Linked DNA regions of Canis lupus familiaris. The protein of the gene in region 1 purifies or fractionates together with the protein of each later gene. This does not show direct contact. Links are inferred from orthologs where the notes say so. Each region holds a gene or a part of one and is shown on either strand. Other genes may lie near its edges.

Region 1 (4,263 bases):
GGTGTTGCTACTGCTTTGGCTGGTGCAACCGCCTTTTTGGCTGGTGTAGCTGCTGCCTTTTTGCCAGGGGTGACAACTGCTTTCTTGGCTGGTGTGGCAACTGCGACTTTTTTTGTTGGGGAAACCATTACCTTCTTTGCTGGAGTTGTGGTAGCCTTTTTTCCTTTTTTCTGAGGAATAACAACCTAAAGAACAAATAAAACCAAAGGTAAGTCTTCTTCCAAACCCAAAAAGACAGCCTTGGTCCCATGAATGAGACTAAATTCTAACACTGTTCTGGTTTCAGACCCACATGCACTGGATGTTATGTTAGCATGCTAAACTACAGAACCATGTGCCAGAAATCACAGCCTTCATCTTCAGGTAAAATACTCAAGCATATAGAGCCCCTTTTTAACAGCTAAAATACCTCACACATTATAACTGCAACTTTAAAACAGGCTTTAAGAAAATTTTAAGCCTCGACTTTTTTTCTCCTCTGTAAGGGATAACAGCACCAACCTTACATATTGTTAGATTAGGAGTTGACATATATATGTAATTAGAAGTCTTGCACAAAGAAAGCTCTACTTGTTAGATGCTACTGAATCATTCAGAGGTCCTACAGTGGGCAGTGGTTCATTGAAGGCTTGTTCTTAAGACCAGTAAATGAGTATCAAATACACTGGATAGTTAGCTCTTCCTAAGTTTAGTAAAGAGTAAGCACCTTAAACCTGATAAAAACCATCGTTCATCTACATTAAAATTATACTTTTTTGCTCACTCCTAGTTTTACTGGGTACCATATCATCAGTAAAATATTCATTACATCCTAAACAAGAAATCTAAACACAAATACAATAGTTGTCTTTACAGTAAGCAAACAGTAATAGGTTAACACAAAGTGAGGTGGCAACGCTCAACCCACACCAAGATGTTCAGTAACCAGTATCACGATGCTCTTATACAATGAGAGACAAATCAATCCTGCTTGGAGGCTAGGAAAGTAATCTGGTAAAGCTAACCTCAGACCTGAATAAATGCACAGGAGTGCCACTTACTTAACAGTTAATAGTCCAGGCTGTTTGTTTATCTAGTAAGGTGGGGGTTAACATACTCAAACTAGAAAAATGTCATGGCTGAACACAAATATAACACCAAGCCCTACAAAAAATGCACATGAAAAAAGGACTCCCAATTTTTTCTCTCAAATTCAAATACTTACCTATATCAACATGTTAATGAAGAGCTTGGAAAACAGTCTCAGCAGGCCATACTCAATGAATATAATCTTATTTTTGCCAATATTTTCATACATCCAGTATCAGCTATTTCAGCTCTCCATTTCATAGTTTAACACACGTCTCCATAAAGTTGTATATAATTACCTCTTCTCCGCTGCTGTCATCATCTTCATCTTCTGACATTTCCTCATCTTCACTGTCTTCTTCTACCTCCTTTGGGGGAGGAGCCATTTTCTTGGGGTCACTTTGATTTTTACCAGCCTAAAATAGACATTTAGCACATTACACCTAAAACATCTGACCGTTCATATTATGCCATCATTCTTCAGAGTAAAAAGCAGCCGTCTCCCTACATAAAGTCCACATTTCCTAATGCTAGATATAAAAATTAACATGAACACTATCGAAGCCAACGTCAAAACAGCAACTGCCAACCCCCACCCCATTACTCCTGTCAGGTTTTACAGAAACTCAAGGATAAAAATGCAACTACAACAATATTATCTCCCTCCTCCTTTTGCCTTCGTTAAGCACATCCGTTTTTAAAACGATACTTCCAAAACCGACCATTACATCACGCATGATTTTAATAGACTACAACTGGCCAATTTTAACGGCCAACAATTCATAGCCCTTCACCGGGGGCGGAGAACCACACCTGGGGGGGAGAAAAAAAAGCTTTTGGTAAATTCTAGCACCAGATCTTACACAGTCGCCTGAATCCAAATTTGGGGGCAGGATCTTCAAGACAACTTTTATAAAAGAAAATCAGACCTTAATCTTACTACCTTTGGTCTCCCCATTAAGTTCTTTCCCGTGGAAAAAAACCCCGCCCCTTCCAGACCAGGCAGAGCCACGTGGGGATACCCCGTAGGTCACCATGTGCGCGCAGCAGGGCGCAGAAAGCACGAGGCAAGGCCTCCTCCTGAAGCCCACCTCGCGCCCGCTTGTCTGGCCGGGGCCCACAGGCCACGGGGCCTCCATCTGAAACCATCCCGCAGCCCCCCGCCTCCCCTCCAAGTCCCCTCCGCAGACGCCGGGACACACGCGGCGCGGCCCACGTGGCGGGCAGCGCGCTGAGGCACGTGCGTCAGGAGGCGGGGCCCCGCTTGGGCCCGTCGCAGGAGTTCGGCATCATCCCTCCACCCCGAGGCCCAGCGCCCCCTCCCCACTCAGTCCCTAAGTCTTTCGGCGCCGCACCAACCACCCGCGGAACCTGCCGAAGCTCTTCACCTCGCTACCAAATAGCCAAAAGCCGCGAGACCTCCCCGCCGATCGCGCGAGATTTCCCGCAGCATGGCGCCCTCGAACGCGCCCGGGACGGCGCGCAGGCCCTCCTCCTCGCGGCGCCGCGCGCGCGCTCCTCAGAAAGCAGGCCTCGACGTCCATGCTTGCGCAAGCCGTCTTCTTACCTTTGCGAGCTTCACCATGATGGCGGCTTATGCCGGCGGAGTGTGTGGCGGGCGAGTGGCGCAGACGAGCCCAGAAGAATCCAAGCGACGTCGATGGCGGCCGCGGGTACGAGAGGTTCCCGGAGCGCGTACGCTTGGCTGCTCGCTAGAGCTCGAGACTGAGGCGAAAGACTGAGCCTGCCCAGTAATCGCCTCTGGAAAGGCGACGACGGCGCCCTCGTGACTCCGTCTCGACCAATCAGAGGCTGCGCCCATCCCGTGGGCCAATCGCGAGCCTCTACCCAAGAACGGCGCGGGGCGGGGCGCAGGCGGGAGTGGGCGGGCCGAAGCGGGCAGGGGAGGGGGAGGGGATTCGGTGGCGGCGCCCTGGGGGCGGGACTCGCTTTGTGCAGGGCCCGCGCTGATTGGGTAGTGGGCGCGCGGTTCCTGAAGTGCCCCTCCGCGGCCCGCGCTCGCGACGCCTGCGCGGTAAGACGGCCGTTTTTGGCGCCGCTTGTTCCCGAGCCCCGGGAGGCTGGGTACTGGTGGTCTCCGGTTCCCGAAAGTGTCCAGGGTGCTGTCGACGCCGGAGGCCTTGCAGATGCCAGGCGGCCCTACGCGCGGCTCCGACCCGCTCTCCACGCCGAGCCGCCCGGCGGCCGAGGAGAAAGTGTTCGCCCGCTTCTCCCTCCGCGGATGAGCCCGAGACCTCCGGAAATTCGGGGACCGTGAGGTTCAAAGCGCCCGGGTTGGAGGCCCGCCTCCGCCCCCCCCCCCCCCCCCCGCGCCGTCTGCAGGTGGTTCTCTTTCGGGCCACGTGTCCGAAGCTGCCTCCTGAGGGCTGTTAATAAAGACGGTCGCGGATGTCTGTGAGCGCTGCACAAACGCCACATTTAATGTCCAGCCACCTCATGCGCTAGGTTTTTGTCCCAACGAGGAACAGGCCCGGAGGAATAACTTTCTGGTGGTCACCGGGTGTTACAACGGCGGCGGGGGGAGGAACTTGGTCAGGCCAAACACCGACCCATTGGCCGCGCAAGTTCCCTTTTTGTTTTTTGGGACTAAAGCATACCTTAAGGTGTGCTGACTGAGGAGGGTTCCGTGTCACCTAAGGGTCCCAAGAGCCAAAGGAAAGGTGCCCTCAATGGCGGAGGCACAGAAGGGCCTTTGCCTTTTGCTTTTGCCAGTTATTTTGATGGGTCATTGTGGGCAAACTTGTTAGTGCCGAACATCCCAGAGCACTTCCTTCGGTACAGAGCCCGCCTGCGACATAACCTGGACATCCAGTACCTACCATGTTTCTACAAAACCAGGATCCCTTCAGCTATCAGTATATTTCCACAATTGAACTGTTGTTTAGAGGCTCCTCCGTGGAGATTCTAATTCAAGAGGTTTGGGTTGGGGACGGGGATTTTGTGTTTTAACAGGGGCTCACGGATATTCTTGTGAACCATCCAGTTACTTTGCAATTCTTTTTTTTTTTTTTTTTAAGATTTTTAAAATTTATTTATTCATGATAGACACACAAACACACAGAGAGAGAGAGAGAGAGGCAGAGACACAGGCAGAGGGAGAAGCAGGCTCCACGCCGGGATCACGCCCTGGGCCAAAGGCAGGCGCTAAACCACTGAGCCACCCAGGAATCCCCT
Region 2 (4,108 bases), on another chromosome or scaffold:
CAATCTCCTGGCCAGGCCTCAGCTGAGCAATGAGGATATCATCATGCACGGGTCTGATCGTGCCCTCTGGGAAGAGGTCAGCCTGATTCCCCAGGGGCACCCATGTCATGTGCCTGGAGTACACTGGAGAAAGCACATCAGGAAAACATCAATCCTTAAAACTAGTACCCATCAAGAGGTGGGCCTTCCTACTCACCATACCACCACTCACCTTTGTGGTTCACATAGAGTTCATTGGGGTCAGAGGAATCTTTAGCAGCATGGGGGTTCCGTGTGCACCTGACTTGAAGCCGAAACTGCAGAGTATCTATCTCTGTGCCTTCATCATCCCCTGAACAAAGGATGAAAGTGGCAGCTCTTAAAGAACGACTGAGTATTTGAGTGCATTAATCTACACTTCTCATTTACTCCTCGGACAAATTTCCAATTTCAGAAGACCAGGGCAAGTGTTCACACAGATCAGAACTGATGTACCAAAACATTAGTGATTTGCTCATGGTCACAGTAATCAAGCCAGGATTTGAACGTAGGCAGTAGATCCTCTAGAATCTACTTTAGGAGACAGCTGTTCCCATTTTGCCACAATTTCGTTTTCTCAAGCGCTGACCTTGGTTCCGATACTCAAAAAGACGAGGATCAGCATGAATGGGAATAAGCCCCAAGCGATGAGCAAGGATCTCATCCTGGACAATGGATGTGTTGTTGTACACCAGGACCTTTTCCACAGCCATGGTTGGCACCTGCCCAAAAAATAAAATCATTCATCTACAGAGACCCTACAGACTCCCTATTTACTCCTACTTCCTGACACAGGGGGCCCTATTCCCAGAAAAACACCTGATGAAAAGTTCAGGAGGAATGCTCAGGAAAATGAAAGGAGCAACCTAAGAATTCTCCAAGTAAGGTGATGGCTCAGTTTCCACCCAACTCCGTCCCTGCCACCATGCCCACCAATAAATACCTCAGCTAATAAAATGCGTCGAAAAGCATTGGCAATGGCTGCATCAATTCCCACCATGTCGAACTCCAATGAGTTTTCATCCATGTGCACTACATCCACACGGAAATTCTACAGGGACAGAAAATGCACTAAATGAAGCCTTGGCCTCTGTGGAATCAATACCGTCCCTCTGGATATCCCCCAGCCCCAGCAACAATGTTCCCACTCACCCAAGAACCTCCCTTTGGCCAGATGTACCTCATAGCTGTTCCCTTCTCCCCCAATTCTTCATGAACTTCTTGAAAAGTTCCCATTTTTATCCTCTATTCATTTAAATCCTCCAACCAGACCACCCACAGAGACCATTCTACTCTGTCCTTTCTTACTAGACTCCTCCATCGGGCATTGATAGAATCCCTCCATTTTCCAACTCTGCCTTGGTTTCTGAGCACCAATCTTCTGGTTCTTTCTCCTCCAATGAATCCTTCTAAATTCACTATCTCCTACCCACTCCATAAAGTCACTATTTTCTGGATTTTTATCTCTCTCCAAAGTGACCTCAATCACGCTCATGGGTTTAACAACTATATATACAGAAAACTCCCAAATTCTCACTTCTCATCTCCTTTCAAACACACATTTTACTGGCCTGCTAGACCTCACATTCAGGAAACAATGCAGCATCATTCCCCTTCCCCAGACCTATTTTTCATCAGTAAATGGCACCACCATCCATTAAAGCAGTTCCTCAAGGTAGGTTATTTTATACTCCCTCCTCACAGCCCACATCAAAACAGTCACCAAATTTATCATGTCTCCTTTTTGCTCTACTTTCCTGATTATCATTTTAGTTCATACCTTCAACCTCAGCTCCTCTATGCAATTCTGTCACAAATCTGACTACCCTCTATGATCTTTCCCAACAGTTAAGGATGCAAATCAGATCACATCTGGCTCAGAGCTCTTCAAAACTTCCCCTATCACCTACAGTGTCTAAGATGCACTTCAATCTTGCCTAGCACTCATGCTGCCCGACTTTACATTCTAGCAATAATAAACTGGACGTTCTTGGAACACAGTTCACAAAGCCTTTATAATGTAGCTTCTAGTCTTCGTCCCCCCACCTTCACCCTTACCCTTTCTCAGATTTTACTCATCGTTCAGGGCTCAATTCAGATGTCATCTCCTGCAGGAAGGAAATCTTCCATACCGCTGCCCCGCTTTCCGTTCCAGATTAAGTGCCCCTCAGGGGTCACCCTAGTCACGACTGTCCTTTCTTATCGCTACCAACCACCTTTACATCATACTGGAGTCATTTATGCGTGCTCTTCAACAAGATTAAACATCTTGTTCGACGAACAGGGCACAGACCATGTACACGGAGGGCCTAGCATATTGCTCAATAAACGTTTTATGAACGCAGCGAATCCCACGGGCAGTTTCCAAAGCACAGGCCGCTCAGATCACACGATCCGTTCCCAATACCCTCTCCAGCCCCACCTACCTTCTCGAAGCGGTCTTGGTCCCAGGCATCATCATAGCCGGAATAGTTACCGGGAAAGTCGGTGGTATGAACCTAGACCAAAGAGAGACGAGTCTGCGAAGGGGCAGGTAGGGCAAACCCGCCCCAACTCCGATCCCAACTCATCCCTCCTGTTCCACTCTCATTTCTCTTGCCGAGTTCAAGGCCACGGGCTTACATTGCGAACCCCGAACTCCCCTAGAACCACGCGGGTCCGCATCTCTTGCACCGCCTGGGCGGCCGCCATCTTCTACCCCTCCACGTGACTAGGGCAGCAAACTGGCGCGCGCGTCCCAGTCGCCCTCCTTCGTCTCCATGGCAACGCACCGCCTCCCGGGATGTTAAATATCGCGAGATTCTGTGCAGCCTCCGTCCACGTCCCCAGCTTCCGGAAGTCGGTTTGGGCCAAACATCCGGGTTTCTCCTTTTTGCGTTCCGGCTGAACCCACCGCTCTTTTTCGCCCCTAGACATCTCCCTCCTTCAGGCCCACGTCTCTCCCACTCCTCCTCCGCGCGCGGGACTAGCGCGGGCTTCAGCGACGGGAGCCCTCGAGGGACATGGCAACTACGGCGGCGCCGGCTGGCGGCGCCCGAAGCGGGGCCGGCCCGGAATGGGGAGGGTTCGAAGAAAACATCCAGGTAATCGCCCCAGGGCTCCGGCTGCCGGCAGCCGCAGGGCCGGCAGCCGTCCTGAAGCGTCGCGGGGACTCTCCCTGGGAGCTTGGAAGTCTGCTCCATTTGCAACACTTGTCCTCTCCTTTGGCTCTTGGTGTACACGGAAGGTAGTGGGACTGGTGCTGACCTCAAAGGTCCAGACTGGTGCTCCAGCCAGAGGGCCTCGTGCCTCTGGGCCTGCCTGCTCTTGCTTTCGAGACAAGTTTGTTGGTCGATCGGGGCCAGGCATGGCGAGGGAGTGGGCGGTATTCACCGGCGCTGGCTAAAACCATGCTGTGTGCACAGCCTTGTTTGGGGATTGGAAAAGACAAAACGGGCACTTTTGCAGCCCTCTGAGGATTTGATAGGGAAGGTAGAAGAAAGACATATATGCAAGACAGGGGGTAGGTTTCCCAGGCTAGAAAAGAGAGCCAGACAACCAAGGATTCTGAGAGCAGATGAGGGGAAGAGAGTGGTATGATCTATGGTGATTCCAAGCCATATCCCCAGCAGTGGAAGAACAAAGTCCCAAATCCTGGGAGGAACGGAGGAGGACCCGCGGATGGAACAGAAAGGGCCTGCACTCTAGAAGCCATTGTCTTCACAGGGTGGGGGCTCAGCTGTGATTGACATGGAGAACATGGATGATACCTCAGGCTCCAGCTTTGAGGATATGGGTGAACTGCATCAGCGCCTGCGTGAAGAAGAAGTAGATGCTGATGCAGCTGCTGCTGAAGAAGAGGATGGGGAGTTCCTGGGCATGAAGGGCTTTAAGGGACAGCTGAGCCGGCAAGTGGCAGATCAGGTAAGCAGGATTGGATCCCTAGCAGGTGGAAAAGTATACTTAGGAAGGCCCCCAAGTGCTGGAGTTGATGTTAAAGTTCACCCCCATGTCGCCTAACCCATTAGAACTGTGTAGAAGGCCAATAGAAAGTGAGCGACAGGGACTATGGCCAAGAACCTCTCGCAGTACCTACCCACTTCACTCCGTC
Region 3 (4,006 bases), on another chromosome or scaffold:
CTCCATGCAGATGATGCCATATTTACCTGAATATTTTAAGATCATTAAAATCGTTAGCTGTTTTCACAGATTATGTTAGGATATTCAGCAACAACAACTACTGTCTGAGAGACTTTAAATCAAGAGTAAAGAAACAAAAGGGAAATACATGGCTACATTTACCAAGATAAAGCTTGACCCACTGAAATCATAACTTACATTTTCCATAGACTTGTGCATTGTAGGGCATATGGCTAAGATTCATAACAGAACGTAAGGCCACAAAGTGCCAGAAAATGCCAACTTTGTCTCAAAGATCAAATTTCACCTCAAACAGGCAGAACTTACCAAGAGACCGAGCAATCAATGTGTTATCTGTCAGGGCAATTCGCTTCTTGTTGATCTTGCCATAACCACGCTTGTAGATCAATTCATTCACTGACTTCAGGTTTGGGTACCTGAAACGGGAAAAACCAGACATAAATGGCCAAAGGTTATCACCATTAGAATACTTAAAACCCATCTTGCTAACACAGCCAGTTCAGAAAGAACTCACGGGAAAAGAGACTTACCCCCATGCTATATACGGTTCCACAATCCTTAGCATGTTAACTGAAGCCTTGTTGAGCTTAACAAAGGTGCCATTGAAGATCTGGCGAAGGCGAAGAAGCTGCAACACCTTTCGAACCTTTGGGCTCACACCATTGATACTGCAGCGAAAAAAAAGAATTCACTGAGCTTTATCAGAATTTATATTAATAAACGAGGAATTAACCATTATAAATTTCGGACAACTCAAGTCCCATCTAAACAAGACTCTTTTCACATTACGAAGACCATTGGCGTTTTTCCTTTAGTTAGCTGAACTATTCTATCCCCTGACCCAACCTGCCTCTTCCACAACAAGCAGGCTTTCTGTTAACACGTACCTTTTGACATTTAAAACTTGTCTCATTTCCTTGTTTTGGATACAAGAGTACCTATGAACCTACACTTTAGCCTCTATTTTAAAAGATTTTATTTATTTATTCATGAGACACACACACACAGAGAGAGAGAGAGAGAGAGAGAGAGGGGCAGAGACACAGGCAGAGGGAGAAGCAGGCTCCATGCAGGGAGCCTGATGTGGGACTCAATCCTGGGACTCCAGGATCACACCCTGGGCTGAAGGCAGCACTAAACCTTTGAGCCACCTACTTTAGCCTCTTTTGAATTAAAATTCAAATACCCAGTTAGAGAACAGATAAGGGCTTTGGGCCCAGGGCTTGCACAACAAAACCATCAAAACACCACCTCATGTCCTAGCGACACCAAAATCTTTATTCTAGTGTTTCAGAAACAACGGCCCCAGAAGTTACGAAGTTCTGCTGAGACCCTGTAGACTTCCCTTCGAAACCAGGATGCAGTTAAAACCCAACTTACCCTCTGATCCTGATGACAAATGCCAACTTGGGTTCTGCAGGCACGTAGAAGTTGCCGGCTTTTCTCGCCATCCTCGCCATGCGAATCTCAGTTCTGTACATCTGCCTGTATTCCTTGTGGTAATGCTTAGCCTTTTCATAGATAAGCTTCCTCCTTGCCTTTCGAAGCTGGAAACCAAGACCAGTTATTCCCCCGATTTTTAACTCAACACCATTAGCCCTTAACACCTAAGGACCAGTTCCTTAGCGGTCCTCTTTATTGCCAACACCAGTTCTACAGAGGGAAAAAAACGTTCCCCTGAAACCTCTTCCTTGCTGTAGGGTGCATGAATTATTTCCAAGCACAGACACCACCACCTTCATTTACTGTCGCTCTGAAGAGCTAATACTAACGCCCAAGCTCACTGGTACCCGGGGGGGGTAAAGAAGCCTCGCTGAGAAGGAAGCCCGATTTTCAATCCCAACCCCAAGGCCTCTCTTTACACGGAGAGGTGCCCCACAAGTTGACTTACCATCTTTTGGGCAAACTTTTTTCTCAGACGCTTGATCTTCAACTCCGCGAAGTTCCTTCGCTTTTTCTTAAGGGTTTCCGGCACAGCAGGAACCTTCTTCTTCTTCTCTCTGGCATCAGTGAACACAAACTGACCAACAGCTCCAACAGCACACGCACGACCCCGCACCGCTGCGCGTCCGTCCCGAGCTTGGTCATCGAGCCATACCGCCGTCACTGGCTCTACAACCTCGCCCCTTTAGCTTCTCCAACGTGCTGTGCTGCAGGATGCAGACTTCGGCGGGGTTCTAGGCCAGGGATCCTCGGCCTTTCAACACGAGGCCCTCCGAGACTACAGCACACTCCCAGCGAATGCACGGTCAGTCCCGGGCTCCCAGTTAGAGCCAGCACGGCAGAGACCGAGGAACCTGCTGCAGGACTCGATCTACCCCTAGACTCTTCCCGAGTCTGCGCGTGAAGAGCTTAGGAGTCTCAGGAAAAGACGTTGTGAAAACCTCCCAAGCACCGCCCTCATTCAGGTCTGAAGTCCCACATGCTGAAAGCAAAGGCCTGACGACAGGGGCGACCGGGCCAAATACCAGGCAACGATGAGCCCAACTGAGGCGTTCTGAGCCTCCCACCGGTCGCGCACCTATTCGGCTCTCATCCCTCGTTCCCGGTATCCCAAACCTCCGCCCCAAGGCCGCCTGCATCCCATCTTGGCCTGGCGCCCCCCCACTAGTGTCACAGAGCGTCACAAACACACAGACAAGTGGGTAAAGGTACAGGCTACAGCCGGATCGAGGGAAAACGAGACAAAAAATCCCCAGTTTCGTGGATGGAGAAGGATTATCAAGCGGACGAAGAGCAACTTACTCTGCACCCTCCATGGTTCCAGCCGGAAAAAGAGGAAGTTGGCGCATGCGCGCTGCCCACTTAAAGACGACAAGCGCGAAGCCCCACAACTCATAGGTGTCCCGGGATAAGCCAGAAAAGAACTCGCAACTGAGAACTCTCGCAGACACAAAATTAGGTGCTCCCTGTGTCTGCCTCTTGCGATCAAGTTTCGGGCAAAATTCGTAGGAGATAGTGCGTGCACCGATTAGACTCTTTAATCAGCATCACAAGAGCAAAGAATGCTGACACCTTGACTCCTCGGGGTCCTAGTCCCCAGGCTGCGCGGACTCGAAGTGCACCCGGCGATGGACGCAAATAACACGCCGCACCGGCGTGAACTACAAGTCCCAGCATGCAGCACTCTCACCGCCCGCCCGGCCGGAGGGCGACGCTCGACCGGGGGCTGTAGGCAACCACGGCGGTGGTGAGTTCAGCCAGGGAAAATGAGAGCCTTTCGGCCCACATTCCACAGGGCTGGCTGCGAGTCCAAGTCGCGGCCGAGACCTGTCTTTTGACGGCCCTTCCCGGCTGTCTGCCATCGCTGGCCACAAGCCGGCACCCCGCGGCCGCGCTGCCGAGGTCCTCGTCTCGGTTCCTGCCAGCCTGCGGGGCTGTCTTCCTCAGCGCCTGATCGCAGGCGGGGCCGTCCAGAGTCCCGCTGCTCAACCACAGCGGCGAGATAGGGACTAGCGCCGACTCGACGGCGGGAGGAGGATGGCCCGGGCACTGCGGCCCGCCAGGCCCGGCAGGCGGAGGCCGGGACACCCTGCGGCAGGGGGCGTGAGCTGCGAAGGGAGGCGCGACGGGGGCTGGAGGCTGCGGCCACGGCCATGTGAGAGGGGCTGCCCCGCCGCGGTTCGGCGGACGGCGGGCGGGGGGCTGGGCCGGGGGCGGGGTGCGCCCGGGGGCGGGGAGGGCCGAGCGGAGGGAGGGCCGATGCCGCTGCCGGCTCTTCCCGGGCGAGGGTTATATAGCGCGGAGCGTGGAGCCCGCTCAGAGGCGGCCGGGAGGGCTCCGACTTGCGGGCGGCGCCGCGCTGCGGAGCCCAGTGCCCGAGTGACAGCCGCGGGGAGTGCGGGGCAGGGGACGCGGGAGCGCGGGGGCGGCTGCAAGCCGTTGGGCAGCGCCCCGCCGCGCCGGGCGAGTCGCCCCTCCGCGGCGCCCCCGCCGCCCCGCACCCCACTCTCCCACCCTTTCGCAACTTGGGTCAAGTTGACAA
Region 4 (3,940 bases), on another chromosome or scaffold:
GTTTAGATCACAGCTCAGTTCCTGTAGAAAACGAACTGTAAAACTATCTGAAGACCATGCAAGAGGCAAAATAAAACTTGAAGTGAATGTGGTGTGGTGGTGTACTGTGTAAACCTACTTGTTTCTTCCTGGTGGTACCTTTTCTCCTGGCTTTCATGCCTCATCTACAAGCAAATATTCTCCACAGCTGTTCCAAGTTAGGGGCTGCACCTTCCCATTCTCATCACCAGTAAAAGACTTCCAAATTTTCCCCAAGGCAAGGTAAAATATAAAAGTAATTCTTGGCCAAGCCACCCTCTTCCCACAGTTAATAGCTTGGGTGTGAGTTAGGGCAGCTAGTTTAAATGAGTTCCCTGTATCTAGTGGAATAAGGAACAGTTTCACAGTTTATCGGGTTCTTTGGTCAAAAGGTGAATGATGGGGGTTGCGGGGAGTTGCCCAAACTATGTGACCGAGGAGTCTAAGGTGGGAGGATGTTCTGGATTGATTCAGAATTACAAACTCCAAAACGTCTGCTAGGAAGAGCAGCCCCAAATCTGAGATGATGTCCGTCAGCATCCAGCCAGCACCTGAAGCTCAAAGATAGGCCTTCTGGGTAGTAACCTTAAGATGTTAGATTAGGAAGAGGACCGAGTGGTTCCATAGTTCCAAGAGAAAATACCATAGCTGAAAAGTCTTTCAGGATCCTCAGCTCTAGGAGCAAAGGCAAATAGCATATTTTTTATGCTTTTACAAGAAAAACGCAGTCCTGGGGGATGCCTGGGTGACTCAGCGGTTGAGCCTCTGCCTTTGGCCCAGGGCGTGATCCTGGAGTCCTGGGATCGAGTCCCACCCACATCGGGCTCCCTGCATGGAGCCTGCCTCTCCCTCTGCCTGAATCTCTGTCTCTCTGTGTGTCTCTCATGAATAAAATAAATACTTAAAGAACCGCTGCCCTGAAATTCGCCTTTACGAGGCGGGTGTTGGAAGGGATTCCACTTTTCTACTTTGGAAATAATAACGAACGCTTACCCTGGAGTGGAGACAGCAGAGGCTGCGAAGAGCTAGAGAAAATGGAGGCTGGAGCCACTCCATGACCACTCGAGAGCCGTAGTCATGGAAATAAGGATATTAACATGAAAAAGATCCACTGCTGTTACTTTCCTGCAGTCCTAACAGAAGTCTGACCGGGGGCCGCGCGAGCTCCCAGGCGAGGCAGCCTAGCACTGGTTGCGCCTCGGTCCCTCCCCTCAAGCCCAGCGGCTCCTTTAATGGGCGGGGCCGGAACCCGCCGCGAGCTCCCCGCTCTGTACGTGTCGGGGGCGGAGCTCCCAGACGGCCCTTGCAGCATGGCCGCCGGCGCCGCGGCCGCTTTGGCGTTCCTGAGTCAGGAGAGCCGAGTCCGGGCCGGGGGAGTCGGGGGTCTGCGGGTCCCGGCTCCGGTCACTATGGACAGTTTTTTCTTCGGTATTGAGGAAAAGAGGGCATGAGGGTGGTGCTGGGGCGGCCAGGGGCAGGGCTGAACAGGAATGCAGATGGGAACACGACGTGGGTGGGGGCGGAGGGGGCCCGCACGCGCAGCCCAAGCAGACGGGGTGGCGCGACCCCTGCAGCACATGTGCGGGGTGGAGTCCAGGGCCGAGCGCCCTAGGTGTTCTCGAGGAGAAGCGGGCGCGTAGGCGGCCGCTCGGACCACGACTGCACGTTCAGAGGTTTGGTGGAACGCCCCTCACGCACACTCAGACACACACCGTTCCCTCTTCCAGGCTGTGAGCTCTCCGGCCACACCCGCTCTTTCACCTTCAAGGTAGAGGAAGAGGATGATGCGGAGCATGTGCTGGCCTTGACCATGGTGAGGTTTGCTGGGAAGGGTGGTGAATAGCTGGTCCTGAGCAGGCACCTCGGGGGCCTCTACCTGTCCCCCCAGTCCCCTTTACTGAGAGTCACCTCCTCTGCCTGACAGAGGCAGCTTCTCTTGCGAGGTGACTTTCATGTCTTTCATGCCTCATCTACAAGCAAGTATTCTCCACAGCTGTTCCAAGTTAGGGGCTGCACCTTCCCATTCTCATCACCAGTAACGGACCGCTTGGGCGGGGCAAGTTCTAGGGTAGATGCCTCCCCTTGTGTCAGCCCTTGTTTGGGGAGACCCTAAGGCCTTGTGTACTCTTTCCAGCTCTGCCTCACCGAGGGGGCCAAAGATGAGTGTAACGTAGTAGAAGTCGTGGCCAGGAATCACGACCACCAGGAGATTGCGGTCCCTGTGGCCAACCTCAAGTTGTCCTGCCAACCCATGGTGAGTTCTGCCCAACCAGGTGATGGAGGTGGTGGTGTGGAATCCAGGACTGAAGGACTGACAGACTGATTCATCACAAGATGGGGCAGGCCAGGCCTTCATCCTTGTCTTCCTTCCAGCTCAGTTTGGATGACTTCCAGCTCCAGCCACCTGTCACCTTCCGCCTGAAGTCAGGTTCTGGTCCTGTGCGGATCACTGGGAGGCACCAGATTGGTGAGAGTCTTCTCCTTTGGATCTAGTGGATTCCTCATCAGGTCTCCCACCCCAGTCCACACTCCTACCCCATCCCAGCCATATCTCCTAGTGCAGCTCCCATATGGGCCGTACCGTCCACTGTCTTCAAGCCTACCTCCTGCATGAAACCTGCCCCAGTGTCTCCACCTCCACTAATGTGGTCTCCTTTGGCTCTCTGTCATCTTAGTATTGGAGGTTCTTCCCACCCAGGTCATCAGCTCTGGGAGGTCAGGGTCCCTGCAAGCTTAGCACCACAGGGCATGAATAAATGGCATTGGGGGTTGATGGGTGGGTTGGGGAGGCACCCCCCAGACATGACTTTTCGTTGCACCTCTTCCTTATGCTTATGTGTCCACCAGTTACTATAAGTAATGACGTTTCTGAGGAAGAAGAGAGTGAAGAAGAAGGTAGTGAGGAGGAAGCTGAGTTGTGCCCCATCCTGCCTGCCAAGAAGCAGGGGGGTAGGCTCTAGCCTCTTTGGTGAGTTGTGGGAGGGGTGTCCAGCCAGGTCTGGGACGGGGTAGGACCAGCAGATGAAGGCCTAGATGCTGACCCCTTGTTTGCTCTCCTTAGGTCTGCTGTTTGCCTGCCACATGTGCCATGCACCATGTTCCTATACAAGTTTCAAGAAATTTAAATATGTCTTCTCCATTGAAGAGGAGGGGTGGGGATGGGGGGATCTTGAGCTGGTGCTAGGAGAGAGTCTGGTTGTATCCTTCACAGGACCCTGGTGTTTTTCTAATCTTATGCCATACCTGGGGCTTCCCTTTTCTCCATGAATGGGAGAAACTCTGAACTTCTATCCTCACCCTCTCTCCCCACTTGCCTATGAGATTGGAGATCAGCATTTGAAGCTCAGGACTACACATTTTTAATAACTTTTTACATTTTTGGATAAAGGCTTAAATAAAGTGATGTGGAGTTTTGCAACTCACTTGTGTGACTTCTTTACCTGCTAGTGTGGTATTCCCCTAGGGACCACCAGGTGGCACTGTGGCAGCACCGAGGGTGGCCCTAGGCCTGGGGAGGGTGAGGAAATACGGGATCCTGCTATCCCTAGGATAGCAGGGGGGGGGGGGGGGGGGGGGGGGGGGGGGGGGGGGAGGCCAGGCTCGGGCCCCAACTATCTTGCTAAAAGAGGACCTCCCAACACCAAGCCCATTCCCAGTCCCATAGGTGGGGGAGGGCCATCCCAGGAGGTTATCAGCATCCAAACAAGGGACCTGGGCCTCTGTCAGCACTCAGGCTGATGGGCAGGGGGGCAGATAAGGGGGCTTAAGTAGTCCGAGGAATGTGCATCCCTAACCCCATGAAGGGGCTCAGGCCCTGAGAGGGCCTGTGAGGGGTAAGGCAGAGGCCAGTCATTGCCCCTCCTTCGTCTTGCAGGCTGTCTCTGAGCGGGTCTGGGCCCTTAGAAACCTGATTCCGGGGGCC

Evidence for each region. Proteins that work in one complex are often made in the same cells at the same time.
Region 2: the proteins of NCL (region 1) and POLR1C purify together in Homo sapiens (affinity purification with mass spectrometry; 3 studies listed by BioGRID and IntAct, with this or other methods). This does not show direct contact. The link is inferred for Canis lupus familiaris from reciprocal best matches to the Homo sapiens genes NCL and POLR1C.
Region 3: the proteins of NCL (region 1) and RPL7 fractionate together in Homo sapiens (co-fractionation; 3 studies listed by BioGRID, with this or other methods). This does not show direct contact. The link is inferred for Canis lupus familiaris from reciprocal best matches to the Homo sapiens genes NCL and RPL7.
Region 4: the proteins of NCL (region 1) and NPM3 fractionate together in Homo sapiens (co-fractionation; 4 studies listed by BioGRID and IntAct, with this or other methods). This does not show direct contact. The link is inferred for Canis lupus familiaris from reciprocal best matches to the Homo sapiens genes NCL and NPM3.

What each region holds. Positions count from the first base shown.
Region 1 is NC_049246.1:43,521,457-43,525,719, forward strand, and holds the start of NCL (nucleolin), read right to left. Parts: upstream 2,801-4,263; 5' UTR 2,654-2,800; coding exon 2,636-2,653; intron 1,485-2,635; coding exon 1,368-1,484; intron 186-1,367; coding exon 1-185. UniProt on the Homo sapiens protein: Nucleolin is the major nucleolar protein of growing eukaryotic cells. It is found associated with intranucleolar chromatin and pre-ribosomal particles. It induces chromatin decondensation by binding to histone H1.
Region 2 is NC_049233.1:12,166,440-12,170,547, reverse strand, and holds the start of POLR1C (DNA-directed RNA polymerases I and III subunit RPAC1), read right to left. Parts: upstream 2,801-4,108; 5' UTR 2,710-2,800; coding exon 2,641-2,709; intron 2,517-2,640; coding exon 2,445-2,516; intron 1,070-2,444; coding exon 962-1,069; intron 741-961; coding exon 608-740; intron 332-607; coding exon 212-331; intron 124-211; coding exon 1-123. Other genes in the region: protein YIPF3, read left to right, coding at 3,021-3,101, 3,724-3,921. UniProt on the Homo sapiens protein: DNA-dependent RNA polymerase catalyzes the transcription of DNA into RNA using the four ribonucleoside triphosphates as substrates.
Region 3 is NC_049250.1:22,367,157-22,371,162, forward strand, and holds the start of RPL7 (60S ribosomal protein L7), read right to left. Parts: upstream 2,801-4,006; 5' UTR 2,781-2,800; coding exon 2,767-2,780; intron 2,022-2,766; coding exon 1,913-2,021; intron 1,569-1,912; coding exon 1,402-1,568; intron 690-1,401; coding exon 552-689; intron 438-551; coding exon 328-437; intron 27-327; coding exon 1-26.
Region 4 is NC_049249.1:14,559,223-14,563,162, reverse strand, and holds NPM3 (nucleoplasmin-3), read left to right. Parts: upstream 1-1,284; 5' UTR 1,285-1,328; coding exon 1,329-1,446; intron 1,447-1,745; coding exon 1,746-1,831; intron 1,832-2,152; coding exon 2,153-2,272; intron 2,273-2,391; coding exon 2,392-2,485; intron 2,486-2,865; coding exon 2,866-2,978; 3' UTR 2,979-2,986; intron 2,987-3,079; 3' UTR 3,080-3,440; downstream 3,441-3,940. UniProt on the Homo sapiens protein: Plays a role in the regulation of diverse cellular processes such as ribosome biogenesis, chromatin remodeling or protein chaperoning. Modulates the histone chaperone function and the RNA-binding activity of nucleolar phosphoprotein B23/NPM.